Xenopus tropicalis: one gene and its partners. The protein of the gene in region 1 purifies or fractionates together with the protein of each later gene. This does not show direct contact. Links are inferred from orthologs where the notes say so. Each region holds a gene or a part of one and is shown on either strand. Other genes may lie near its edges.

The links.
Region 2: the proteins of vapb (region 1) and vps13a purify together in Homo sapiens (affinity purification with mass spectrometry; 3 studies listed by BioGRID and IntAct, counting the BioPlex papers as one, with this or other methods). This does not show direct contact. The link is inferred for Xenopus tropicalis from reciprocal best matches to the Homo sapiens genes VAPB and VPS13A.
Region 3: the proteins of vapb (region 1) and wdr44 purify together in Homo sapiens (affinity purification with mass spectrometry; 4 studies listed by BioGRID and IntAct, counting the BioPlex papers as one, with this or other methods). This does not show direct contact. The link is inferred for Xenopus tropicalis from reciprocal best matches to the Homo sapiens genes VAPB and WDR44.
Region 4: the proteins of vapb (region 1) and arhgef12 purify together in Homo sapiens (affinity purification with mass spectrometry; 3 studies listed by BioGRID and IntAct, counting the BioPlex papers as one, with this or other methods). This does not show direct contact. The link is inferred for Xenopus tropicalis from reciprocal best matches to the Homo sapiens genes VAPB and ARHGEF12.
Region 5: the proteins of vapb (region 1) and osbpl11 purify together in Homo sapiens (affinity purification with mass spectrometry; 4 studies listed by BioGRID and IntAct, counting the BioPlex papers as one, with this or other methods). This does not show direct contact. The link is inferred for Xenopus tropicalis from reciprocal best matches to the Homo sapiens genes VAPB and OSBPL11.
Region 6: the proteins of vapb (region 1) and aftph purify together in Homo sapiens (affinity purification with mass spectrometry; 3 studies listed by BioGRID and IntAct, counting the BioPlex papers as one, with this or other methods). This does not show direct contact. The link is inferred for Xenopus tropicalis from reciprocal best matches to the Homo sapiens genes VAPB and AFTPH.
Region 7: the proteins of vapb (region 1) and osbpl9 purify together in Homo sapiens (affinity purification with mass spectrometry; 7 studies listed by BioGRID and IntAct, counting the BioPlex papers as one, with this or other methods). This does not show direct contact. The link is inferred for Xenopus tropicalis from reciprocal best matches to the Homo sapiens genes VAPB and OSBPL9.

What each region holds. Positions count from the first base shown.
Region 1 is NC_030686.2:2,710,585-2,714,517, forward strand, and holds the start of vapb (vesicle-associated membrane protein-associated protein B/C), read left to right. Parts: upstream 1-1,133; 5' UTR 1,134-1,232; coding exon 1,233-1,290; intron 1,291-3,933. UniProt on the Homo sapiens protein: Endoplasmic reticulum (ER)-anchored protein that mediates the formation of contact sites between the ER and endosomes via interaction with FFAT motif-containing proteins such as STARD3 or WDR44.
Region 2 is NC_030677.2:132,297,208-132,300,707, forward strand, and holds part of vps13a (vacuolar protein sorting-associated protein 13A), read left to right. Parts: intron 1-689; coding exon 690-972; intron 973-2,071; coding exon 2,072-2,467; intron 2,468-3,500. UniProt on the Homo sapiens protein: Mediates the transfer of lipids between membranes at organelle contact sites. Binds phospholipids. Required for the formation or stabilization of ER-mitochondria contact sites which enable transfer of lipids between the ER and mitochondria.
Region 3 is NC_030684.2:67,117,381-67,121,489, reverse strand, and holds the start of wdr44 (WD repeat-containing protein 44), read right to left. Parts: upstream 2,801-4,109; 5' UTR 1,814-2,800; coding exon 1,740-1,813; intron 1-1,739. UniProt on the Homo sapiens protein: Downstream effector for Rab11 which regulates Rab11 intracellular membrane trafficking functions such as endocytic recycling, intracellular ciliogenesis and protein export.
Region 4 is NC_030683.2:78,817,228-78,820,283, reverse strand, and holds the end of arhgef12 (rho guanine nucleotide exchange factor 12), read left to right. Parts: intron 1-268; coding exon 269-338; intron 339-2,321; coding exon 2,322-2,353; 3' UTR 2,354-2,556; downstream 2,557-3,056. UniProt on the Homo sapiens protein: May play a role in the regulation of RhoA GTPase by guanine nucleotide-binding alpha-12 (GNA12) and alpha-13 (GNA13). Acts as guanine nucleotide exchange factor (GEF) for RhoA GTPase and may act as GTPase-activating protein (GAP) for GNA12 and GNA13.
Region 5 is NC_030685.2:89,894,435-89,898,582, reverse strand, and holds the start of osbpl11 (oxysterol-binding protein-related protein 11), read left to right. Parts: upstream 1-1,348; 5' UTR 1,349-1,578; coding exon 1,579-1,703; intron 1,704-4,148. UniProt on the Homo sapiens protein: Plays a role in regulating ADIPOQ and FABP4 levels in differentiating adipocytes and is also involved in regulation of adipocyte triglyceride storage. Weakly binds 25-hydroxycholesterol. Interacts with OSBPL9 to function as lipid transfer proteins.
Region 6 is NC_030681.2:32,370,400-32,374,478, reverse strand, and holds the start of aftph (aftiphilin), read left to right. Parts: upstream 1-1,279; 5' UTR 1,280-1,482; intron 1,483-4,079. UniProt on the Homo sapiens protein: Component of clathrin-coated vesicles.
Region 7 is NC_030680.2:96,347,303-96,351,490, forward strand, and holds the start of osbpl9 (oxysterol-binding protein-related protein 9), read left to right. Parts: upstream 1-1,388; coding exon 1,389-1,499; intron 1,500-4,188. UniProt on the Homo sapiens protein: Interacts with OSBPL11 to function as lipid transfer proteins.

The DNA of each region.
Region 1 (3,933 bases):
AGAGCGGTACGGGCGGTGAGAGAGAGCGGTACGGGCGGTGAGAGAGAGCGGTACGGGCGGTGAGAGAGAGCGGTACGGGCGGTGAGAGAGAGCGGTACGGGCGGTGAGAGAGAGCGGTACGGGCGGTGAGAGAGAGCGGTACCGGCGGTGGGAGAGAGCGGTACCGGCGGTGGGAGAGAGCGGTACCGGCGGTGAGAGAGAGCGGTACCGGCGGTGGGAGAGAGCGGTACCGGCGGTGGGAGAGAGCGGTACGGGCGGTGAGAGAGAGCGGTACCGGCGGCGGGAGAGAGCGGTACCGGCGGTGGGAGAGAGCGGTACGGGCGGTGAGAGAGAGCGGTACCGGAGGTGGGAGAGAGCGGTACCGGCGGTGGGAGAGAGCGGTACCGGCGGTGAGAGAGAGCGGTACCGGCGGTGGGAGAGAGCGGTACCGGCGGTGGGAGAGAGCGGTACCGGCGGCGGGAGAGAGCGGTACCGGCGGCGGGAGAGAGCGGTACCGGCGGCGGGAGAGAGCGGTACCGGCGGTGGGAGAGAGCGGTACCGGCGGCGGGAGAGAGCGGTACGGGCGGCGGGAGAGAGCGGTACCGGTGGGAGAGAGAGCGGTACCGGCGGTGAGAGAGAGCGGTACCGGTGGGAGAGAGAGCGGTACCGGCGGCGGGAGAGAGCGGTACCGGCGGTGGGAGAGAGCGGTACCGGCGGCGGGAGAGAGCGGTACGGGCGGCGGGAGAGAGCGGTACCGGTGGGAGAGAGAGCGGTACCGGCGGTGAGAGAGAGCGGTACCGGTGGGAGAGAGAGCGGTACCGGCGGCGGGAGAGAGCGGTACGGGCGGCGGGAGAGAGCGGTACCGGCGGCGGGAGAGAGCGGTACCGGCGGCGGGAGAGAGCGGTACCGGCAGGAGGGGCGGGACAACCCGGTACCAATAAGGGGAGATCCCGCGGGTTTATATTCCCGGATATCTATGTGACATTACACAGGGCGGATACGGGGTCCCGCACATACGCTGCCAGCGCTAACTTGCCCCTCCCCCCCAGGCGCCGCCATGTTGGCCCTTGAGCCCCAGTGCGCAGCCGCGGCCCCGCCCCCAGCCCTTGCGCCTGCGCGCCGCTCACCCCCGGGCCTTGCAGGGGCCGTGACGTCACAGCAGCCTCCGCCCTCCGCCGCTTTGCTGCATCACCCGCTCCTGCAGCCGCCACCGCCGCCGGGACAGGCCCGGACCCCCAGCCCACACGGGAGACATGGCCAAGGTGGAGCAGATCCTTCAGCTGGAGCCCCAGCATGAGCTCAAGTTCCGAGGTACCGGGGGCTCTGGGGCACTCACATTAATCCTGCAATGTACGGCTTGGGGGTACTGCTGGGATACAATCCTCTAATGTACGGCTTGGGGGTACTGCTGGGATACAATCCTCTAATGTACGGCTTGGGGGTACTGCTGGGCTACATGGGTTATAATCCTGTAATGTATGGGTTGGGGGTACTGCTGGGCTACAATCCTGTAATGTAGGGGTTGGGGGTACTGCTGGGATACAATCCTGTAATGTAGGGGTTGGGGGTACTACTGGGCTACATGGGTTATAATCCTGTAATGTATGGGTTGGGGGTACTGCTGGGCTACAATCCTGTAATGTAGGGGTTGGGGGTACTGCTGGGCTACAATCCTCTAATGTACGGCTTGGGGGTACTGCTGGGATACAATCCTCTAATGTACGGCTTGGGGGTACTGCTGGGATACAATCCTCTAATGTAGGGGTTGGGGGTACTGCTGGGCTACATGGGTTATAATCCTGTAATGTATGGGTTGGGGGTACTGCTGGGCTACAATCCTGTAATGTAGGGGTTGGGGGTACTGCTGGGATACAATCCTGTAATGTAGGGGTTGGGGGTACTACTGGGCTACATGGGTTATAATCCTGTAATGTATGGGTTGGGGGTACTGCTGGGCTACATGGGTTATAATCCTGTAATGTATGGGTTGGGGGTACTGCTGGGCTACAATCCTGTAATGTAGGGGTTGGGGGTACTGCTGGGCTACATGGGTTATAATCCTGTAATGTATGGGTTGGGGGTACTGCTGGGCTACAATCCTGTAATGTAGGGGTTGGGGGTACTGCTGGGCTACATGGGTTATAATCCTGTAATGTATGGGTTGGGGGTACTGCTGGGCTACATGGGTTATAATCCTGGAATGTATGGGTTGGGGGTACTACTGGGCTACATGGGTTATAATCCTGGAATGTAGGGGTTGGGGGTACTACTGGGCTACATGGGTTATAATCCTGGAATGTATGGGTTGGGGGTACTGCTAGGCTACATGGGTTATAATCCTGGAATGTATGGGTTGGGGGTACTACTGGGCTACATGGGTTATAATCCTGGAATGTAGGGGTTGGGGGTACTGCTGGGCTGCATGGGTTATAATCCTGGAATGTATGGGTTGGGGGTACTGCTAGGCTACATGGGTTATAATCCTGGAATGTATGGGTTGGGGGTACTACTGGGCTACATGGGTTATAATCCTGGAATGTAGGGGTTGGGGGTACTACTGGGCTACATGGGTTATAATCCTGGAATGTATGGGTTGGGGGTACTGCTAGGCTACATGGGTTATAATCCTGGAATGTATGGGTTGGGGGTACTACTGGGCTACATGGGTTATAATCCTGGAATGTAGGGGTTGGGGGTACTACTGGGCTACATGGGTTATAATCCTGGAATGTATGGGTTGGGGGTACTGCTGGGCTACATGGGTTATAATCCTGGAATGTATGGGTTGGGGGTACTGCTAGGCTACATGGGTTATAATCCTGGAATGTATGGGTTGGGGGTACTACTGGGCTACATGGGATATAATCCTGGAATGTACGGCTTGGGGGTACTGCTGGGCTGCATGAGTTGTAATCCTGGAATGGGGGATGCTGGGGTGCAGGGCCAGTGGGGGCCGCTGGGGTGCAGGGCCAGTGGGGGCCGCTGGGGTGCAGGGCCAGTGGGGGCCGCTGGGGGGCAGGGCCAGTGGGGGCCGCTGGAGGGCAGGGCCAGTGGGGGCCGCTGGGGGGCAGGGCCAGTGGGGGCCGCTGGGGGGCAGGGCCAGTGGGGGCCGCTGGGGGGCAGGGCCAGTGGGGGCCGCTGGGGGGCAGGGCCAGTGGGGGCCGCTGGGGGGCAGGGCCAGTGGGGGCCGCTGGGGGGCAGGGCCAGTGGGGGGTGCAGGGCCAGTGGGGGGCGCTGGGGTGCAGGGCCAGTGGGGGGCGCTGGGGTGCAGGGCCAGTGGGGGACGCTGGATTACAGGGCCAGTGGGGGACGCTGGGGTGCAGGGCCAGTGGGGGACGCTGGGGGGCAGGGCCAGTGGGGGGCGCTGGGGGGCAGGGCCAGTGGGGGACGCTGGGGTGCAGGGCCAGTGGGGGGCGCTGGGGTACATCCCATTTCAGAACCTGCCTGAGGGAGGTCTTGTAACCATGAGTGCAAGGGGTTGCTGGGATACAGGGCTGAAGGTAGGGGGTCCCTATTATAACTGTCAGTTTGGTATGTGGGTAAAGGGCAGAGAGCTCCCTGATAACAAAGAGGAGTAGTGCCCCCTAATTATATGGGGGTTCCCTGGGGCCCTGCTGTGCTCCCCAGTCCTGATCCATTTATGCCCCCGTAGTGCCAGTAGGGTGCAGGGTGCACAGCCCCGATGCTGTATCCAATATACAGGGGGTATATATAGGGTGTAATGGGGCGCATATACTGGGGGCAGTGATACATAAAGTCCTGTCTGTGCCCCCCTCCCATTGGCTGCATTCCTTCTGACTGCTGATTGGGCAGTGTTGGCACAGTGTGTGTGGGTAGGGGACCCTGCGCCCACTCTGTGCGTTAGTGACACTGGGGGCTCGGGGTGGGGTGGGGGGGGTATTCGGTACTTTGTAACGGTGAGGAAACCACCAAGGGAGGCCGGACAATTGTAGG
Region 2 (3,500 bases), on another chromosome or scaffold:
GGATTCAAATTAATTCTTTCGTGGGGCCAGCAACATCTTGTTACACCACTGCATACACACACAGCTTGCATGTACATAAAATTGGTCAAACGCTTGATGTCGACCTTGCTGCCTAATCATCTGTGCATATATAGCTGTGTCAACAGATGGTTAGATCTGCTGGATTTATTTGGCCCTTCATGGATTAATGGCCTGGTTGCCACCTGCACAGCCACCTGAGGCTTTTTAATCTTTACAGTCCTTTCCAAAAAAGCAGTGCAGCAAATGTAAAGATGTCCTTTTTTTCAAAACCATCAAATATTTGAAACAACTGCTTACATTTTGCAGTAGGTTGCTATGCTGGTGCAATATTTTAAGTATGTAAGTTACCCCTAGGTGTAAATATTTAAGCTGCCTGTTTTGCTTTAGTTTGAGTCAATAATCAGAAAGTACATTTTTGTTAAACCGGTAGCATGCTGCGTTCCTCACTTGAAAAAAGTCACTTCTTGCTTTGCTGAGAAATTACTTACTGGTACGTTTCATGGTAATATTTATCACTATATTGTACTGTCTTTAATGACTTTTTAGTAACTGCCAAATTGTTTTGAAAAGCATTTGAAAATGTTATGTTTAATAAAACACAATCTCATCTATATACAAATTTAAAATGTGTTTGTGCTATAATAATATTTTCTGTGTTGATCGAGCAGATCGGTGTTGTGCTTTAAGCCAGTGCAAGAAAAAAAATATGAAATGAGTGAAGGTGTTAGCTTTGAAGACGTCATTAAAAATGATGGCCTGCTGCTGAATATGAAGTGCCAGTCTGCTACATCTAAAAAGGATTCCCTCAAGCTAAACATTGTGCCTGTAAAGGACATTGTCATGTCATCTGATCACACCAATGAAGGGTGGCATTTGCCATATGTTGTTCATTTATGGCCAACTGTAGTTCTTCGTAACTTGCTGCCTTATCAGATTAAGTTCTCATTGCAGGTAAATTGCAACTTTGCAGAATAATCTTTGGCTAGTTTGAAAAAACCTTTTGAAAATCACAGTATGCATATCATGTATACAATAACCATGACAATTTTCATTCTAAAATTGAGTTCAAAGAGCAGCACCTCGCTATGTATGCAGTGCTGCCTGTGTTCTGAGGAATTGCATTTTGAAGGGGCCGGTGGTAAGCATCCCTTGAAATGTCACTGCAGTAGGCATCCTAGGGAGTCTCAGGGGCGACAAGGTGCAAGAGTACCCTGTATTTACTGTGAGCATGTAGCATACCTTGTATCATTTGTCTTATTTTTAAACCATTCACAGTGTAGTGTGCAAAGACCATTGCCCCAGCTACAAGTGCTATATGCATGGAACCTAAAGGGTTCAATAAATAGTAATTGTATTGTAAATGGAACCAAGAAAATTTGGTTTTTATTTTATATTTTGACCACATTGTTTCTGGCTCACTTTCTCCTCACACCTGATCTGGTTGGCAGAAGTGGTTTCTTAGTTACCCCTGAGCTCTGGGCCCATTCTGCTCATTCTTGACTTCTGCTGAGGTTAGTAGCTATAGGTTTTTTTTGTAGGTTGCTGCTAGTTGTGTGCACTTGGCCCTTCTTTACGACTGAAGAAATTGTAAATCCACTATGTGATTTTGGCTTATGTAATTAAGCCCAACACAGCCTGCTGTTGTCTGCCATACATACTGTTGACCAGTGATCCCCAACCAGTGGCTCCTGAGCAACATGTTGCTCCCCAACCCCTTGGATGTTGCTCTCAGTGCCCCCAAACCAGGGAGTTATTTCTAAATTCCTGACTTGGGGGCAAGTTTTGGTTGGATAAAAACCAGACATACTGCCAAACAGAACCTTCTGTAGGCTTCTAGTCCATATAGAGGCTACCAAATAGCCAATAACAGCCCTTATTTGGCACCCACAGGAACATGTTTTATGCTTGTGTTGCTCCCCAAATCTTTTTACATTTGAATGTGGCTCACAAGTAAAAAAAGGTTGGGGATCCCTGCTGTTGACCAATACACAGAAACACGTTTTATCCTTTGTAAGATTTACAAAAACATTAATTTGCTTTTCTCTCCTAGGGTGTTGATGTTGATGCAACTTTAGTAGATGATGGCTGCAGTACCCAGATTCATAATGCAGCCTTAGACAACACCAAGTTGAAGTTACAATTGCTGAATTATACTGACCAGGGCTGGACAGCAGAATACCATATCCAAAGCAAGCAACAGGACATCCACTTTATAAACTTCCGCTGTGTAGCAGAACTAGACAAGTCAGAACTGGATATTGCTGTCCATGTGACATACACTACAGGTCAAACAATTATTGCCTTACATAGTCCATATTGGATGGTAAATAAAACTGGGAGGATGCTGCAGTACAAAGCTGATGACATTCACAGAAAACATCCAGCTGATCACAAAAAACCACTGCTTTTTTCATTTAAGCCAAAGAACTTTTTACAGAATAACAAGGTATGGGACATTCTTTATATTAAAAATATGGAATTCACTTAGGGAAGTGGTGCACAGGGAGATTAGTCCCCTGTGGTTAAATCTCGGCTACCACAGGCGACTAATCTATAAATGCCTTCCCAACGGCAATAAAGTGAATCACTGATGGGATGGCATAAGTTCTCCAAAGACATATTCATCTGACAGCTGCAATAAATACAGTTAACTTCACTAAACAAGATCCAAGCAAGACTAGTACTAGTTACTAAACATAAAGCAAGGGGCAGAACTGACCATATTCTGAGCCATAACACATCAGTAGAAGTGGAAAAAAGAAAAATGCTGTTTTTATCAACATTTAAGAGACTTATGGATGAATCAGATGTAGACAGACAGATAGGGGCTTTGTGCTGCTCCTGCCAGGAGGCAAGAAGCGGCCAGTTACCAGGGTTTGCTCCCACCCCGCCCCAACACCACCCCCCCCCCCAACCCCCTGGGGGCGATGGCAGACTCAGAATCGGCACTGTTTGTACTTTGTTACTGATGTCTTTGAATAGGTCTTTCTGACATACTCCAAGCATTTAGTTGTGTGTTCTGTTACTCATCTGCAAACATTGTAGCACTAAATAATTTGTGTTAATTCAGGTTGGCAGTACAGTGTCTCATTGCTGGAAAAAGTGTTTTAAATGAAAATAGCACCTGTGACTGTGCACATAGGAGATTGGTGTACAGACTTTCAGTGATGTTGTTTAAAAGCTGCATGAAAGCTATGTATCTGGCTTGACTCCAATTTATGGCAGGACCGCTCATTTCTAAAAGGAAATAATTGGACATAGTAACTGAGTAGGCCATTGACCCAGCCATGTCTTTCTGGGATTGTTTCCTATGTTTCATTTTAATTATTAACATATTCCCACGTAGTGTGTTCGGACATAAGTTGTTAAGTCTTTAACCTGAAAAATAGCTACCATATATGCCTGTATAGGAAGATATGCATATTATTTCTAATCTAAGGTTGTCTACACAGTGGTAAGTACTGCTATCTCGCAACACT
Region 3 (4,109 bases), on another chromosome or scaffold:
GAGGGGTGGGTAGAGTTAAAGAAGTGAGCCTGAGGGGTGGGTAGAGTTAAAGAAGTGAGCCTGAGGGGTGGGTAGAGTTAGGAAAGTGAGCCTGAGGGGTGGTTGGAGTAAGGAAAGTGAGCCCAAGGGGTGGGTAGAGTTAGGGAAGTGAGTCTGAGGGGTGGGTAGAGTTAGGGAAGTGAGTCTGAGGGGTGGGTAGAGTTAGGGAAGTGAGCCTGAGGGGTGGGTAGAGTTAGGGAAGTGAGTCTGAGGGGTGGGTAGAGTTAGGGAAGTGAGTCTGAGGGGTGGGTAGAGTTAGGGAAGGGAGTCTGAGGGGTGGGTAGAGTTAGGGAAGGGAGTCTGATGGGTGGGTAGAGTTAGGGAAGTGAGTCTGATGGGTGGGTAGAGTTAGGGAAGTGAGTCTGAGGGGTGGGTAGAATTAGGGAAGTGAGTCTGAGGGGTGGGTAGAGTTAGGGAAGGGAGTCTGAGGGGTGGGTAGAGTTAGGGAAGTGAGTCTGAGGGGTGGGTAGAGTTAGGGAAGTGAGTCTGAGGGGTGGGTAGAGTTAGGGAAGTGAGTCTGAGGGGTGGGTAGAGTTAAGGAAGTGAGTCTGAGGGGTGGGTAGAGTTAGGGAAGTGAGTCTGAGGGGTGGGTAGAGTTAGGGAAGTGAGTCTGAGGGGTGGGTAGAGTTAGGAAAGTGAGCCTGAGGGGTGGGTAGAGTTAAAGAAGTGAGCCTGAGGGGTGGGTAGAGTTAAAGAAGTGAGCCTGAGGGGTGGGTAGAGTTAAAGAAGTGAGCCTGAGGTGTGGGTAGAGTTAAAGAAGTGAGCCTGAGGGGTGGGTAGAGTTAAAGAAGTGAGCCTGAGGGGTGGGTAGAGTTAAAGAAGTGAGCCTGAGGGGTGGGTAGAGTTAAAGAAGTGAGCCTGAGGTGTGGGTAGAGTTAAAGAAGTGAGCCTGAGGGGTGGGTAGAGTTAGGAAAGTGAGCCTGAGGGGTGGTTGGAGTAAGGTAAGTGAGCCCGAGGGGTGGGTAGAGTTAAAGAAGTGAGCCTGAGGGGTGGGTAGAGTTAAAGAAGTGAGCCTGAGGGGTGGGTAGAGTTAAAGAAGTGAGCCTGAGGGGTGGGTAGAGTTAGGAAAGTGAGCCTGAGGGGTGGTTGGAGTAAGGAAAGTGAGCCCAAGGGGTGGGTAGAGTTAGGGAAGTGAGTCTGAGGGGTGGGTAGAGTTAGGGAAGTGAGCCTGAGGGGTGGGTAGAATAAGAGAAATTAGCCTGAGAAGAGAGTAAGGAAAACACACATGGGTGAGACAAGTAACGCACGAGTTTGGGGGCAGAGAGATGTAGGTTCTGGGGGCAGCGAAAACACTAAGCCGGGCAACGCGATTATAATAAAATGCAAGAGTCGAATGAGTACAGAAAAACGTAGAATACTTGAGGATAAAGGTTTCAGGAGGATAAACATACACGGAACAAGAGAGCGTTAAAACGAATTGAAACTTGTGAGAAAAACAAATGTCTCCGTGCAATGAGGGGAGAGTTGCATGTATAAAGAAGGCAGAGGAAGGCAGAAAACACAAGCTAACAGAAAAGAGCTGTAGTATGGGGGCAGAAAGATTGGGAGAAGTTGAATGAGAAAGAAGAGACAGTCGATTATGAGGGGAGAGAAAGGTAGGAGAATGGGGAACTGTCAGCGCGCAGTTCCGCTCATTGCGTTTAACAGATTCACGTCAGACTGAATAGGAAGTAGTGCGGGGAGCACAGGGCGCTACTCACACCGCAGGAGAACAGGATAGGTTGACATCCTCCGGGGCATCAAAAAATTCCTCCGTGTCGCTGTCGGACGCCATGAGATAGGGGCAGGCGGTTTGGATCCGGCCTGCTCTTGGTACTGTTTGGGCTGAGAGGCCTCACTGGGCGCTGCTCCCCGGGGGCGCTGGCCGGCCCAGCATTCAGGCTACAGGCTCCTGCTGACAGGCCAAGGCAAGGGAATAGGAGGGCCAGCGTACTCACAAAAACACAGGCCAGTCTCGCGAGATTACACACTGACAGGGCGAGAGTGGGGAGGGGCTATCACAGCGCTGAGGCAATGGGAGAGTGATCGTTCAATCAGATGAGTAAGTTAAGCCAGTAAGGAAGGCATGTATAGTTACAGAAGTGAGTTTCCATATGGGGACAACGTCCTTCGTAGCGATAGCGGTCTGTTGTGCATAAGGTGTGACGGCTGCTCCTTCTCCTGGGTGGTAATAGTCGCTCCGTGTGGCGCCCTAGGCAGGGGCTGTACTTCTCTAGCTATTGGAGCGTTAGGGATCGCAGATCCCTAATTTAGAGTGACCAGATGACTTGAAAAATAAGTGACACGACTAATAAATACATGTTGCAGGGCAGCACTAATTGCATTTAAAATAAACTGCAATCGTTCACCCTGTTAGCTGAATTTTTAAGCGATCTGGTCACTCTACCCTTATTTACTCGGGCTAAAGTTAAGAGGCAGGAGGAGACACAGGTAAAGCTTTTCGAACAGGAGAAAGAAATGCTGCCCCCTTCCTTTGCACAAGACACTTATGATTCTCAGCGTTGCAGAACAAGTGCTCTCTGATTTAGCAGAGCTGAAATTCCAATATTAAAATCGGAATTTTTACTCTTAAAGTTACCAGGAGTGGCTTTTTGCCATCCCTGGTAACATGGGTTGCTGCCACCTGAGGTGTGTTTCTCACCTCATGGCAACAGCGCCCCTGGCCAGCAGTATATTCAGCTAGATATTGTATGCTGGCTAGATATAGGAAGTATGGAAGGATTTAATCTGGGTATGTGTGAAACTAATAAATGATATATTGACTGTAGAGTTGCCTCCTTTTTCTGTCAGTAATACCAGCCTTTGGGTTGTGATGTCATTTTGGGGTGGGACTATGATGTAAGGGGGCAGGTAAATGTAAGGCCTGGGTAGGGTTATAAGCAAAGCAAGGTGGCCCATGGTGATCGGCGGAGTGGGTCAAGGAAGAGAGTTAAAAATGACGCAAATGACATGGCACTCACAATGCCGTGTATAATGTTGTGTGCGCCGCATCAGATGCTGTACTTGCCCACTGTGCAGAGAACAAGTCTCACTGTTCCCTGGCATGGCAGAATGGCTACTGACAAGCTTAAAGGCTGACACTGTGAAGTAGGAAATGATAATGGGGCTCATAAGAGCATTCTGGTGGCTTATTCTAGTGCCTATAAGGAACACACTTTGGGTGTCACTGTCTTTCATCACCCTAAGATGGGACTGCCTAGTTGCAGGGAAACAAGCTCAGGTCTGCCACTGATTCTGTATTATGGTAAGTTGTATTATAATAATTACAATATAATAGCAACAGAAATAAAGTGCATAAAATAATCCCATTTACATTATATGTGTAATAATTATATACTATGCACTGACTAGTTTATTTTTTTTTTATTATGCGCCTGAAATGCACGTCCACCCCCACCAGTCCTTGGAAAAATTGTCTTGCTTGAAAGCGGTACTTGGTGCAAAAAAGGTTGGGGACCACTGATTTATAGGTCATTACAAATGTACTGGCAAGTAAATTTGTAATACCGGTGCTGGACCTAGCTGGTGATTTAACGGTGGGTGAGTTTGCCAAAGAGAGACGGTAGCCTGAAATTTGAGTTTGCTTATGTCACATAGTCCTCTAACCTGAACTTTACAAACATCTTAGACCCTTTCAGATTTTTTAAAAAGACTACATAAGTCTGAAAGGACAAGGACAATTCAATGGGGGTGGGGGCAATATGTAAGGACCCCCACCCCAGTAATTACAGTATAATCCTTAACCATGGATCCTGGGCCAGTGCTCTTCTTTACTAAAAAACTCACCAGCCAAAGTTACCATTCATAGCAACTAATTCTAAAAGGCAGAGAGTCGTGTTGATTTAAATACCCTTACACAGTAACCTGCAGTAAGAGCTTGGTCACCCCATATCGGTAACTTGCACCTAAACATTTGGTTACCCTGCTATTAAGTATTAAGTCATGCTCAAAATCCTCAGAATCAGCCAGAGCAGAAGGCATAATTGGGGAATGTGGTCTGGGGGGATCAGTGCAAAGTTGAGGTGGAACATGCACAGTCTAGGAACATTGCAATTTGGCAAATGTGCAGT
Region 4 (3,056 bases), on another chromosome or scaffold:
TTTATGTTACAATCAATTTATGCCAATTGAAATATCATTCTGTATTTTCTTCTGGTTTTGGAAGGTATCTTCACTGGAATTAACCATGAACTGATGAAAAGCATTTTTTATAAAAAAAAAAAAAAAAAAATCCTTTGTTCCAGTTTTCCAGTGTGCAAAACTATTCATGAGGTTATGATTCATATTAAAATATGAAATCTCTATTTTTTATGTTTATCTCATTAAATCTAGTATATTTGTTTATTTTTTGTTATGTGTCTGTTTGCAGGGGCTTGAAGAGTTTTATAACACATATCGAAACAGAGTGGCTACTTCAGGGGTCTTGGAGGAAGATCCAGGTATACGCCAACAGTTTTTTATTGCCTTCTCGGATTTTAGCATGCACACAATTAGCAAGTGTCTTCTCTGATGAAGCATTGTTAATCTTCTGTAGATTAGATGCTCCTATATTCCCCGGGCAGTTTAAGGCATGCAGACCGGAAGATTACAATTACATCCATGAATCGGGCTCTGCTTGCTTTGCATTTATGTGCTGCATGTATGAGCTTTACCTATCAGCTTGAATTCCAGCTCTCTTCTATTTTCTTTTTACTGATGATCCTGTTCAGTCCTCTCATCTTTTATTACAACTGGCCTAATCTCATCATTGTATTAGCACTAGCACAGTATAAAGTAATAGACATATTTTCTCTGGATTGCAGGGCAGTTTTTTTAGTTCAATTATAGTACGGAACAGTGACTAATGTGTGTTCCCTTTATTATGTAAGCTAATTTCAGGCATGATTAAGCAATTAAAAATCTCTGTGTGGGTTGTCTGTTAGCAGTAAATTAAGAAATTAAACATTAAAAAAGTTACTCCTTCAGCAATAGATTATATTAAAAGGGTTGTTGATTCTAAGTCTGTTCCAAATCCAATCAAAACAGACAAGACAGTGAAATTATGGATCCTCTTGTGGTATTGAGTCTTGTGCTCAGAAAGGAAGATAGCAGAGGAAAATACCATATTGGGTATTCTAAGTACAAACACTGCACTATAAAAACAAAGCCAATCACTTACCCTCTGTATGCTCCCAGGTGAATTGTATTACAAAGCTTTTAATACAAGGTTTTGTGCTAATGGTTGACCTTTATATTTTAAAGTGTAGCTGAACACAGCAAAGTCCAGGGCACTCAGGATATTTTTCTTTTATCAAAAAGATAGTTCAGACTAGGGTTGAACTGGGCCGGGAAAAAACTCAGCGGGCCCCGCCAACCAAGGCCCTGGCAGGTGGAGGCCGGCTGACTTTACATCTGGGGGGGGGGACCATGGGGTTACAGCCCTAGCAGGCCCTGGACACCCAGTCTGATAGTGGTACAGACTGATGTTTTGGGATCACAGAGTACCCCTTTCTCAAAGACCAAATGATTCGCACATAAAAAATTCACCACCACCAAACCACATGCTGGATAGCAAAATCTTTAACCCATTCAAGACCATTATCAACGATCCTCCAGAAAGCAGCCAAAGGATTTAGAAGTATTAAGAGTGTAAATCCAAAAGCACTCTTTCTGTAGTAACTGCCATTACCTGTATTGTCATTGTGAAGCCTGCAAATAAGGGTGAGGGCATTGATGTTCTAAACTACTGTCATTACAGGAAAAGGATGTTGGAGTTATTAGTAGATTGTTCATCTATCATTTACTGGGGCTTTTTTAAACAGTGGGCAAATTTGCACCTTGGCAGTAACCCATAGCAACCAATCAGTGATTAGCTTTTTTTAAAGGAGCTGCAAGTAGAACAGTAAAATCAAATATCTGATTGGTTGCCTAACTTCCCAGGTTCAGGTTTGTCCGGTGTTTATAAATGACCCCAATTGTCTTTTAACCCTGTTTCTAAATTTAAGAAAGAGATTAAGAATCTGGTCCATTGTGAATTTCAACTGGTTGGGTGATGGAGGGTGAAAAAGATTTTCTATTGATTTGTGTGATGCTGTGATTTACAGTCTACCTAAAGTCCATAAAAGTCTGATTAACCCACCACCCCAACCAACTGTTCATTTTGTGTTTGACATTGAGAAATGGGTACTATGTGACCCTGAAACGTCAGTCTGTACTGCATTTTTGATACAAAGAAGAAGAAAAATATCCTGAGTGCCCTGGATTTTGCTGTATTCAGTTGAATTTGGAAAGTGGCGATTTTCCTTAAGTGATTACCAGGTGGATATGATTTGTTGAGTGTCGTGTAATACCTCATTTGTGAACTTTACATTAGTTTTACATTAACACCATTGTGTTGAATTACAAGAATATCCTAATGCTGTATTTGGTTTTTTTATCCGTAGATAAGGCAATGCTTCCTACAGATAAGGGTTAAATCCAGAGATTATTCGACTTGGTCCATGGAATCACAGCAGATTTTAAGGGATCTCTGCCTGCAGTTCCTTACCCTACTTTGGGAACACACGCATGTGCACAGTCTGCTGCCAACACACTCCAGCCTCCCCAACTCATGATCCACATTAAGATACCAAATGTACAGATATGTGGTGATAGGATATAAAAGTATTTAGCAATTTCTACAAGAAGTGAAGAAAAAACTGAGAGATGTATTTATTTGTCTTTGAGTTAAGGCACATTGTTTTCTTGCTTTTTTTATTGTTATATATTTTCAACCTGTTATTGTTCGTTACATGGGTGAGTTCATGGCAAACCCATCTGTACTGCAGTCAAGCAGCAGAGGGAGTTTGGTAGGTGCATTTAGCATAATCACATCTTTTTACAATCAGTCTTTCGAGGCTGTTGATCATGCATGTTCAGTGTGATATTGCCCTTAAAGGGCACACCCATGCTTCTTTCCCATATATAAGGGGAAAAGTCATGCCAGTTACACCAAATAGACGAGTGTCATTACATTAGTAGTTAAGATGCTGCTGCTTGTCCTCCAGAACACTAGCATAGGTTGCCAAAACACTACTGAGCTAGCCATGCCCTTTTTGAGACAGGCACAGGCACCACAAATGATGAGGGCCAGTAATAAAGTTGCCTGGTGGCCTGCCTCCGTATTTGCACTGACAGTG
Region 5 (4,148 bases), on another chromosome or scaffold:
CATCCAGCCATCGGGAGCCGTCACGCACGCCGCGTCGCATGTCAAGTGGGGGGGGGGGGTGCTTGCGCAACAGCTCCCGATGGCTGGATGTGACGGCTGGCCAGTGCATGCCCATGGCTGGGGAAGGCTGGATGCGACGGATGGACGGTATAAACCTGATGGCTGGATGTAACGGATGGACGGTATAAACCTGATGGCTGGATGCGACGGCTGCCCAGTGTGCGCCCAATGGCTGGAGATGGCTGGGAAGGCTGGATGAGACGGATGGCCAGTATAAATCTGATGGCTGGATGCGACGGCTGGCCGGTGCGTGCCCGATGCCTGGAGAGGATGAATTGCCCGGTTGGATAGGTATTTTGGTACTTGCCTCGAGTATAAGCCGAGGGTTCCTTTTTTAGCACATTTTGAGTGCTGGAAAACTCGGCTTATACTCGAGTATATACGGTACTTGATTACATGTAAATGTGGAGCTCAATATATAGGAAAAATGATCTGAAAAGTATGTGAACGTATCTTGGAACATCTGTCGGCCATTGGGAGAGGGGATGTTAAATCGGCTATAGCTAAACATTGTATTGAGAAACATGAGGGTAATATGGACTTTCATTTTCAAATTATAGATACATGTGGCCTCAATATAAGGAAAGGTGATTTTGAGAATAGATTATTACGTAGGGAAGCATTTTGGATTTATCAGTTGGGTACTATAGAGACATTGGGAGGTATGAACAGAGAGTGGGAATTAACCTGTTTCTATTGATATTTGGCTACATACGTGTGGCTTTAGAATATTGATATTATTGATATTATTTATGTTTCTCCCCTATTGCCGTTTATATCTAGTATTTCCCAATGGCTGAGAGATGTTTGATACGTCCCAAGTAATACTGTGATGTTTTGCAATTCTTATTGTTGCTTTTAACTAATATATATTGGTTAATAGATGCGTTGTAAGGGTTAACTGATTGTGGGAGGAGCCTTAAGGCCTTTCCAGAAGGAAAATACCACGAAACGCGTCAAGTGTATGGTCTTTTTCTGTATAAGCACAACATGCTTTTTTAAAAAGATTGGATAAAGAAAGATTTTTATGAAAACAAGTGTTGGCGTTGCTCCGCACAAAGTTTTGTTTTGCATAACCGGGTAAATACAAGTAGGAGCCGCCCCACTGTTGCTAAGCAACAACATACAGGCGTGTGACGCTATACGCTGGGCGTCGGCGTGCCCCTCCCACATGCGGTTACGTGCTTACGTCAGCGCGCCGAGCCGTCGCTGTGACCGTAATCTCGCGAGATGAGCCCAGTGAGGCGGGGCTGGCGCACCGGCAGGGGCGGAGGGGAGAGACGTATAACCGGCTGGACATTCACACCGCGGCCCGGGAGTATGAGACGCGGAGCGGGAGGGCCGCAATGCCCGGACTGACAGACCCCCACTAGCCGCCCCCATACCCCGCTCTCTGTAACCGGGGTGGCGCCCCCAGCGTACGGCTCAGAGACCCCCAGACCCCCCGTTACTGGGACCGGAGCCCATGAGCGCACCTGTGTGACGGACACTGAGTGACAGCGGCCGGGGGGCCCCAACATGCAGGGGGAAGTGCCCACCATGAAGGTGTCTGACAGCGAGAGCCGGCCCGACGCCTCCCCCAGCCCCCTCACTCACCGGCCCTCCAGCAGGGCAGCCGGGGGCAGCAAAGCCTGGCAGTACTGGTAATATGGGGGCTCCAGGGGGGGCTCTGTCAGCCCCATTTTATCCCACACTCCCTGCACTAACAGCCAGGCAGCTGGGGGTATTACTGGGGGTGGGTATAGCAGGTACCGGGGGTATTACTGGGGGTGGGTATAGCGGTACCGGGGGTATTACTGGGGGTGGGTATAGCGGGTACCGGGGGTATTACTGGGGGTGGGTATAGCGGGTACCGGGGGTATTACTGGGGGTGGGTATAGCGGGTACCGGGGGTATTACTGGGGGTGGTATAGCGGGTACCGGGGTATTACTGGGGTGGGTTATACCGGGGGTATTACTGGGGGTGGGTATTACTGGGGTGGGTATAGCAGGTACCGGGGGGTATTACTGGGGGTGGTTATAGCAGGTACCGGGTATTACTGGGGGTGGGTATAGCGGGTACCGGGGTATTACTGGGGGTGGGTATAGCGGGCACCGGGGGTATTACTGGGGGTGGGTATAGCGGGTACTGGGGTGGGTATAGGGGTACCGGGGGTATTACTGGGGGTGGGTATAGCGGGTACTGGGGGTATTACTGCGGGGGGGTATTACTGGGGTGGTATAGCGGGTACGGGGGTATTACTGGGGTGGGTATTACTGCGGGTACCGGGGTATTACTGGGGGTGGGTATAGCGGGTACCGGGGTTACTGGGGGTGGGTATAGCGGGTAGGTATTACTGGGGTGTATAGCGGGGTACGGGGTATTACTGGGGGGTATACGGGTGGGGTATTACTGGGGGTGGGTATAGCGGGTACCGGGGGTATTACTGGGGGTGGGTATAGCGGGCACCGGGGTATTACTTGGGGGGGTTATGCGGGCACCGGGGGTATTACTGGGGTGGGTATTAGCGGGCACCGGGGTATTACTGGGGGTGGGTATAGGGACCGGGGTATTACTGGGGGTGGATAGCGGGTACCGGGGGTATAGCGGGCACCGGCGGTATTACTGGGGGTGGGTATAGCGGGTACTGGGGGTATTACTGGGGGTGGGTATAGCAGGTACCGGGGTATTACTGGGAGTGGGTATAGCGGGTACTGGGGGTATTACTGGGGGTGGGTATTACTGGGGGTGGGTATAGCCATATGCTGTGCTGGAGGGCACTCCCACCTCCCTCAGTTAAGGGCTTGTACCTTGTATTGCTATTACCCCCCACAGTAGGAATGGAACTGCCCCTGGGGCAGGGGGAGCGGGGGGCCGGAAGAGAAGCAGCGTGAGGGCTCCCTGGTGCAGTAATTAACCCCCCGTGGGACAGGCTTTGTGATGCAACTCACTGCAACTTGCCCTGGGGCATTTCTATAGCAGCTCCCCTCCCATACACACTCCTGTGTAGCCCAGTCTGGCACAGTTATAGGGGGGGTGTTAGCTGGGGATTCTGGGAGCTGTAGTTCAGGTGTAGTGGGTGCAACACATCTGTGCATAGGGGCGTGGCCAGCCTGAGAATGGGAAATAGAGACAGTAGAGTCAGAATAGAGTCGGTTCTACAGACTGGCACAGGGGGCGGCATTGCTGCATCACTGCACGTGGGTAACTGGTTTGATTCCGGGCAGTGCCTGATGGTCCCGTGTGTGGGAGGGGAAGGGCTGGGGCACGTGGGTAATTAACCATTTCTTGTGCTAGTTAATAAGCTGCCGCCGTATCAGTGATAGGGAATAAGGATCAGCCGCTGAGCAGCTTATGGTGTATGTTTATTATGGGGTGAAAACAATATAATACAAACAGAATAACTGTGAGCTTGTCAGGGCTGGCCGGCAGATCCGTGTCCCGACTACCCCTCAGGCATATGTTTGATCAGGGCCTGAACATTAAAGGGGCTGTTCACCTATAGTATGATGTAGAGAGTGATGTTCCCAGACAACTTGCAATTGGTCTTCATTTTTCATTTGTAGTTCTTTTTTTAGTTATTGCACTTTTGTTTGTCCAGCAGCTCTCCCGTTTGGATTTTCAGTAGCTATCTGGTTGCTAGGATCTAAACTACCTTAGCAACCAGGCAGTGGTTTGAATGAGAGACAGGTATATGAATACGGGGCTGAATAGAAAGATAAGGAATAAGCAGTAACAATACAATTGTAGCCTCACAGAGCAATAGGGTTTGGCTGCTGGGGTCAGTGACCCCCATTTGAAAGGTGGAAAGAAGTCAGAAGGCAAATAATTCAAAAATGACTCAAAAAGAAATAATGAAGACCAATTGAAAAGTTGCTTAGAATAGGTCATTCTGTAAGTTATCTAAAAAGTGAACTTTCCCTTTAATGCCAAGTGTATTGTGGCCCCGGGAGCCGTAAGGGGCAGAGACTGTGCCCTTTGCTGTAATTCTGTTACTGTTTAACCGTCTCCTCGGCACCAGCGGGTGAGGCACGAGTTCCTCTCTCAATGATTGGCTTATTCTGCTGACAGGTTTGCTGCAGGAGTCTGAGTAAACAGGACAAATGCT
Region 6 (4,079 bases), on another chromosome or scaffold:
TTCGGATCGGCTTATACTCGAGTATATACGGTAATAGTCCAAATGTAAGCAATTTTGAACTACTTTTTAATGTTTTGGCTGTTTAGGTCGCTGAGCCCATTAAATAAAAAAGAAAAATGGACTGAAACCAGCGTTGTATTTCTTTCTTTTCCCTGCAGTCCCTCCATTATTTCTGTTCCATTGTAACTACATAGTTACTACATCATTGCTTGGGTAATAAGCTCTAGCAACCAGCAGTTTTTAATTTCAAGACCAAGCGATGCAGAACAAACACAAATGTAAAGGATGAAGACCAAATCAATGCTAAGTAACTTGTCCCAGAACACTGCAATAAAGGGTGAAGTGCCATTTATCTCAAGGTTGGCCTGCTTGCCAGACAGCCCTAACACATACTCAGGGGTCACACAGTTAACTAAGGGCCACGGCCAGCCCTGCTTGCTCTGCTACATTTAGCCTGGAATCAAGTGTGTATGTAATAATATGATACGCAGTGGGAAGTACAGAGAGCAATTCAGGTTGGACAGACACCACCGGGCAAGTTGTCGGTAACCGAGATGTTTAACCTGTAGCTGGGCTACAACCCGCCTCCTCCAACATCCCGGAAGTTGCCGCTTAATGACAACCGGTACTTATGAACTGAATGAGAAATTAGCCCTCACCGCATCGTAACTACTCTCCAGGCCGCTCCGCAAACACAGCTTCCGAACCAACTCCATTACCAGTTCCAGCGTCTCCACTCTCCAGCCTTCGCCATCACAGCTGCTTAGGGATGACGACACTTCCGGTGCAAGGCCGGAATGCCAATACACGCACAGGAAGTGACGTCAAAGAATGACTAGCATGCGTCACCTTTGTACACATTTATCGCGTGTAAGCGGCTTATGTCACGTCACCCAGCCTGCTGTACATTATACAGGCCGCAGCTGCTCTATGTGGCCTAACTCACAAGGGCTTTTATAGTGTAATAGGTCGTATGTTTAACTACAAATTGCTGCGGCAGTATGAATATCGGGGCACGGTGGGACTTGTAGTCCAGCAACTAGCAGCTTCACAGAAAGTATGAACTACATTGAATGTGAAGTCTGCTTCCTAATTACATTGGTAGATTGTGCCCGTTCCGATTTTGACGTACTGACCCTAGAGGAGGTTACGTATAACCTGGCACACACATTCTAACGATCGGAATTGACAGTGAGCTTTTCCGCCCTCATTTGCGGTGCACTTCCGCTGCCGCTTGCGCAGAGCTTTCTTACTCCTCTCGCTGCTGGCCGCGGTGTGAGTCGGGAAGGCGGATCCAGGGAGGGGGAGGAGGTTACAGTGTTTATGTGTATCTCGGTGCTTCCTCAAACCGGTATAACCTGGGGGATCCCGCCCTGAAGGGGTCTCACACGCACGGTGACATTACCTGAGCAGCTGGCGGCTGAGCTGGGACCGGCCATGAGCTGCACCGCCGAGCTCTGCGGCCCCGGGGAAGGCGACATGGTAAGTGGGAGGCGGTGTGACGTGGGGGATTGGCGAGTCCAGCGGAGACTGTCAACCTGTTGCTCACCAGCTGTTTAATGACTACAACTCCCAGCAGCCCCTCGTAGCTATCACAGAAGTAATACAGGTGTAGTACAATAGCAGTTAGAGCTAGCTTGTCAGACTTCGCTATACAGTGACAGGTGCTTACAGAAAGCTAGAGTGACCATGGCACCTCCAGCCTGAGGCCCTGCAACACCCCAGGGGTGGGACCCAGGTAACATGCAGCACTTCTAGCGAGAGCTGGCCTCACTGGCAATGTTACACCCTTATTGTATATTGGCTTGTGTTTGCTCAGCAAATGTCAAGTTGGCTTTGATATTGTCTGATTCCCCAGAACAAATACATTGACCTCCATTGTAAAGGTATGGGACCTGTTATCCAGAATGTTTGGGACCTGGAGTTTACCAGATAAGGGCTCTTTCCCTAATATGGATCATCATATTTTAGTCTAAAGTCCTCTAACAGGGATTAATTATATCTTAGTTATGATCAAGCATGAGCTTTTGTCTTATTATTACAGAGGAAAAGGAAATCATTTTTAAAAATATTTGATTAAAATGGAGTCTAGGGAGACAGCCTTTCCTCTGTAATTCTACGCTTCCTGGATAACAGATTTTCCAATAACGAATCGCAAACCTGCAGGGTAAGCCATATTTCTGTATATAGTGCATTTTTCAGCGTCCTTTCTTTTCTTCATACACTTATATGTACTGGCATGAATGTACATTTTTATATATATTTTGTATATGAAATGTTTGGGGGTCAGAGAAATTAGATAATTAGTAACAAAGAATCTGGATGTGCTGCTCTTTAATTATTAGTAATCTGATATGAAAATGGAATGCATTGTGAGCTGGAATTCTACTGCTCAGCTGTACCAACTGTATAATACTGAGGCTAAATGCTAATAATGTAGATTGAATGCTTATATTATAATGGATTGTTATCACATTCTTCCATATACATATCGTGAAACATATAGAGGGGAGGTTGTTTGACATGCTTAGTGACCATATTGCTTTTTGGGACAAGTTCAACAGCACAATATACACTTAGAAGTGGTTATTTTGGCATGAGAGACTTTATTATTTACATTTGTATGTTATTCCCATTGACAGGGTGGCTGCCATTGCATATCATTTGTATTGACACTTATTTATATTACACCAACATATTACACGGTGCTGTACTACAAATGGGCGTATATTAAATGTTGCCGTTAATTTAGTACGCCCACTGGATCTGATTTGTTGGCATACAGCAAATTCAGACACATTTTAGCACTTCTTGCAGGATTGGGATTTGGCAGAATCCTTAGTTCTTATCCCAACCAAATTCTAATTATTGAAGTCATGTGACTTTTAGGCAATGGGCAACTTTTTTTTGAAGATTTCACAGTATATACAGAGGATCAGGTTTGTTGAAAAGATTCACAGCATAGTTTTGTAAAATAAACCGGTGGTTGATAACCAATTTTTGTGTTCTGAGTCTCTTTATTGATGAAGTGCTTATGGGTAGGCTGGATTCTTTCCTTTTTGGATTCTGAAAGGTTTTTTTTTTTTTTTACTGATCATATTGTCCTCACACTTGAATGTGCAAATTAGAGTGTAGATTTGGATTAGTATTTAGCCAAGTACTTGGTGTAGGATTCTACATTTGGTGCATGTTTGGGTGTAGGATTCTACATTTGGTGCATGTTTGGTTGTGATTATATAAGTGTATGTTCTGATTTGGAATATTTCTGATCTGTATATTCTGCATATGCTACTGTATATACTCGAGTATAAGCCGAGTTTTTCAGCACCAAAAATGTGTTGAAAAAGTCACCCTCGGCTTATACTCGAGTATATGGATTTAAAGATGTCACTCGCACCCCCCATGCTCCTGTGCCCACGTGTGAGCGCTAGCACAATTTCATTGGAATGGAAGCGCATACAGCGCTACTATTATGGGAGCGGACACAATTCATGCTGTGGGCTTCATTCAGGGACGGCTACATTCATGTGCTGGGGAGCACACACAACATGGCTTCATAGGATGTGAGTGGTCACTGCACAAATGCGATTGATGGCTTTTCCATGGCTGCATAAGGCCCCTGTGAACCTGCACAAACTGTAAGTCTACCAAACAAGTCCAGTTGCTTTAAATTTATTTATACTAGATGTAAGTCTACCCTGATGCACTCTCACAAATAGAATCTTTGCTGTCAGTTGTGCTGGGAGACATGCTGCAATGCAATGGGAGGGCACACAGCAGGATGACAAGTACTTGATACTTAGTATGGCAGCTTCCTTAGCCTTCCCAAACTTGCCTGACAGTTAAAAAAAAAACTTAGCAGTAGCCGCTGCATTTCCCACCCATGGCCCTCTAATCTATACCTGGCTTGCTTGTTGCAGGTGCCTAGGTGTGTATCCTTAGTCTAAGTACTGTGACGTTATTTAAATACTACATCCATTGTACTGGTTAGCAGTTTGCCAAGAACTGTATAATGTAATCCCTAACTTCCTCCAAACATACTCTGTATGTCTAATATCTTGCCCCCTGGCATTTAATAG
Region 7 (4,188 bases), on another chromosome or scaffold:
AGGATGCAGAGTGTAGGCATAGGGTGCATGTGTAGGGAAAGGCAGTGAGTGGATGCAAAGATGAATAGTGCAGATAAGTTATAGCTCATATAAACACTAGCTGAAGTGAGATCAGTGAGCAGATGTGCAGAATGCAGAGTATATATAGAATATGTCCACAGAGAAGATGATTTCAAAAAAGCTAGTGAGTGGATGCTATAATGTATATATAGTATAGACTATACCAAGGTGGGCACCAACATACAAACCGAGCAAACTGAGAGCCTGAATAGCAAAACGAAATGGAGGAGATATATTGAGAGTGATAAACTGAAGCACAGGGTGGAGAAATGTGGGGACATACACAAGATGAAGGCAGGATGGAGGAAACTCAATAGAGCGCAGAGAATGGAAGTTGTTATCCCTGGGCATACAGTGCCGGGAAGGTATGACACTGAGACGGGATGCAAACACAAGTTTTGGCTGAGCAGGGTACAAGCAACAGACTAATGCCCAATATATGTGCTATTCAATAGTTAGTTTACACGTGTGGTGACTGTGGGATTGCAAATTAAAGGGATAGGGTAAATGGATGTTATAGAAGTAGGTGCCCAGAAGATGCTGGGATACAGAATATACAGCAGAGTGTAGAATGAGGTGTAGAAGGATGAGATTAGTCACCTGTAGAAAGGACGCCAAAGATGAGACGCTCAGTGCCGGCAGCTTGTGCATATGCGAATCACAAATTACCCCTCAAACTGTGCCCAACACAGATGGCTCAGCCTGATTGGTCAGAAGAGCCCTGAGGCAGCCAACCAGCGCAGACCACGTGCTGGGAGGGGTCACAGGTGTGGGAAAGTGAGAGAGGCAAAGGGAGGTGGGGAGATCTGCAAGTGATTGTAATAATATATTCCCTGCACGATAAAAATCGACTTAATTATGCCAAAGTAATTAATGAGCAGCTTACAACTGAGGAAGCAGAATAGATAACAACGCTGGAAACAGGCATTTTGCAGATGAAATAAAACGTCTTTATTAAAAGCTTTTCAAACTGTTTTAATACCGGCGAATGTAAAAGTACATTTGACACGTCTTTGTAAAGCATGTTTGTTACTGTATGGGCGAACTTTATTCCACTTTTCCGCAGTTTCAGGCTATGGCTCTATTGCTAGCTCTGCGCATCCAGTCTACAAGCTTTTCTATTCCCACACAGGCAGGGCAACAGGCGATACTGAAGCTTTGCTCTGGCTCAGCATCTTCAGGTTGCTCCTAGTAACGCTCTGTACCACTCTCTGACGCACGCCGCCACGCCCTGAGTACTTCCCAGCCTTCTTCGCTCTAAGCCCCGCCCTATCCAGTGACGTTGACGCATGACTCCGAACGTCGTGTTGTTATTTCCCTGTTCCAAGATGGCATCTATCATGGAAGGACCTTTGAGCAAATGGACAAACGTGATGAAAGGCTGGCAGTACCGTTGGTTTGTGTTGGATTACAACGCCGGGCTGCTCTCCTATTATACGGTGAGAGCCGCTTTGCATGTTTCACGTGCTCTCTGGTGCTCCTCTCTAAATGTCTACCAGAAGATCTCGGGTGGGGACCGCGGAGCCGCCTAGCCGCAGCCAATCCATGGGCTAGTAACCTAACAACAGCCAATTGGTGCCCGCGCTATCGCTAGCGCTTCTCCAATGGCCGCGCACATCCGCGCTGGAACAGCTGTAGCCGCTGGCGTGTAGTTGTCATGTCTTACGTGCTTGATAGGATGTGAGAGAAAGCTCACACAGTGCCAGCAGAGGGGCTTTACACATCATACATCTTGTTAGCTTGCCATTTATAATGCTGATTTTGTTTGTATTAAACTTATTGATTGTGTGTTATAAGAAGTGTGACGTGGCTGTTTAACCAGAATGTTATATATTACAACAGTACATTTTAGAACCTGTTGTAATCCCTGTTTTTGTAGTTTGAAAGTGTAAATATTTCTTAAGAATGATCTTTTATTCGCAGTTTTATTGTTCATTAGAGTCAACAGTAGGAAAAGTAAGCTCATATGTGTAAAATGTGCCTTGTGTTCAGTAGAATTATCTATTGTCCTTTAGGATATAGCATGGATATATAAAGCAGCATGTTATAGCGATTGTTCAATATCAGTTCCTGACCGTGCACAGCTTACAATCTAATTCATCTATGGGGTATAATTAGCAGGGTTGGTTTTACCAGAAGAAACTTCATACATCTAATTCATGTGTTACAGTGCAACCTAGATTCTTTATATTTGTGAAACCTTAGTTTTTAAGTTTTCCCAAATTTTACATTGTTTTCCTGTAGTCCCACCAGTTTATAATGCATAATGCATTTCCGTGATTCATTTCTGGTCGCCTGAAAAATGTAAAATGGGGGTTCCAATCTGTGTGTGTGTGTGCACACACACACATGCACATCAGAGCCAGGAAATAAATGTCAATTGTCTGGCTGAAAGTTTTTGTTGGAGTAAAAAAACAGATGAATTGGAATCTTGATAGTTTACTTACAGTCGGTGCTGAGTGAGTTAATGCAATACAATAGACTGTCTGTCAACAGAATGACCCTGCTGTAATAGTCTGCTTGCATTTTATATGAAGAGCTCTTTCTGAATCAGGGATCATTACTGAAATAGTTTTAAGTGGTGCTGGAACATTATGATTACCATAATGCTTGTGCCTAAATATACAGTAAGCTTAAAATATGAAAAAACATTTTTGATTGTTTTAAAAGACTAAGGGCTCTGGCACATGGGGAGATTAGTCGCCCGTGACTAATCTCCCCGAACTACAATCCCTCCATAAAATTTCGGCAAATTGGCAAAAATGCCTCGCGAGGCAACTTTGGCGATTTGCCGAAATTGCATGCGCAGCGTGTGCCATCCCACCGGCAACTTACATTTTCGCTGGTGGGATGGTAGTTCGGGGAGATTAGTCGCCCGCGAACAGGGAGATTTGTCGCGGGCGACTAATCTCCCCGTGTGCCAGAGCCCTAAAAAGTCTCTTTCCCATGTATATTGGTTTAGATTACCATTTGCTATACAACTTTCTAGTTGTCTAAATAATTATTTAAATGACACCACCTGGTATGTGCCAGCTTACTTTCCAGCTTTTTCTTGTATGTTTCACCCTCAGAAGAAATTGGCCTCAAGGTTAAGTGATCAGCCTTTGATGTGGGATCTCATGGTTGACACCCTGGTAGATGCCCTGGGGCAACTCCTTGTGACCCTGAATGCCTATAATGGCTGCATTGTATACTGTTGTGTAAAAAAATTTTTAAGTCCCACTGGAGAAAAGTGCTATATAAATGTTTCCATTATCTATTTTTTTCATCCCACAGCCTGAGGCTATTGTGAAGGTACATGCGGGACTTTTTTTTTTTTTTTTTAAAGAAAAGTGAATTTACAAGTGTTCAGTTCCCATATATCAATACAGAAAGCATCTTATCTTTAAGCAAGGATAATTTCACTATGCCATAATTAGGTTAAAACCTGCAGACCCATTTTGACATTTTGTTAGTTTTTAAGTGGTAAAAAAAAAAGGTGGAAAAATGACATGATTGCCATTATCCTAAGAATATACTAGTCAATTATTCAGCACCTCTCTTGTTACTTTGTAATCATTAACTCATAGCTGTGCACTGCTTGGTTTCAGAAAGTAGCAATAAGTTAGATTTTTTACCTCCTAGGGATGCAATACAGTATAATATTTTACTTCAAGACTTAAAGTAAATACTCTAGCAGCACAGCCATGCAAACATAAGCAATTGCATATATATATATATATATATATATATATATATATATATAATCTGTATCATTATTGATCTACTTAATTGTGATTAATGACCCAAAATAAGTATACAAATTATAAGCAAACATGGTAAACATGCAGTACTAAAGGTGTTCATACACGAGCCAATTCTAGCTGCCGATATCGGTCCCTTAGACCAATTCGGCAGCTTATTGGCCCGTGTATGGGCACTAATGACGGGCCTGCCCAACCAACATCTGGCCTGAAATCGGCCAGATCTCGATCGGGCAGGTTTGAAAATTAGTCTGATCAGGGACCACATGGGCTCGTTGATGTGGTCCCTGAACTGATGGACGCCTATACCCATCGTTCTAATTTCATTGTTTAACCTCAGGGCCAAATGACCAAATTAGCCTGATATCGCCCACCCTTAGGTGGG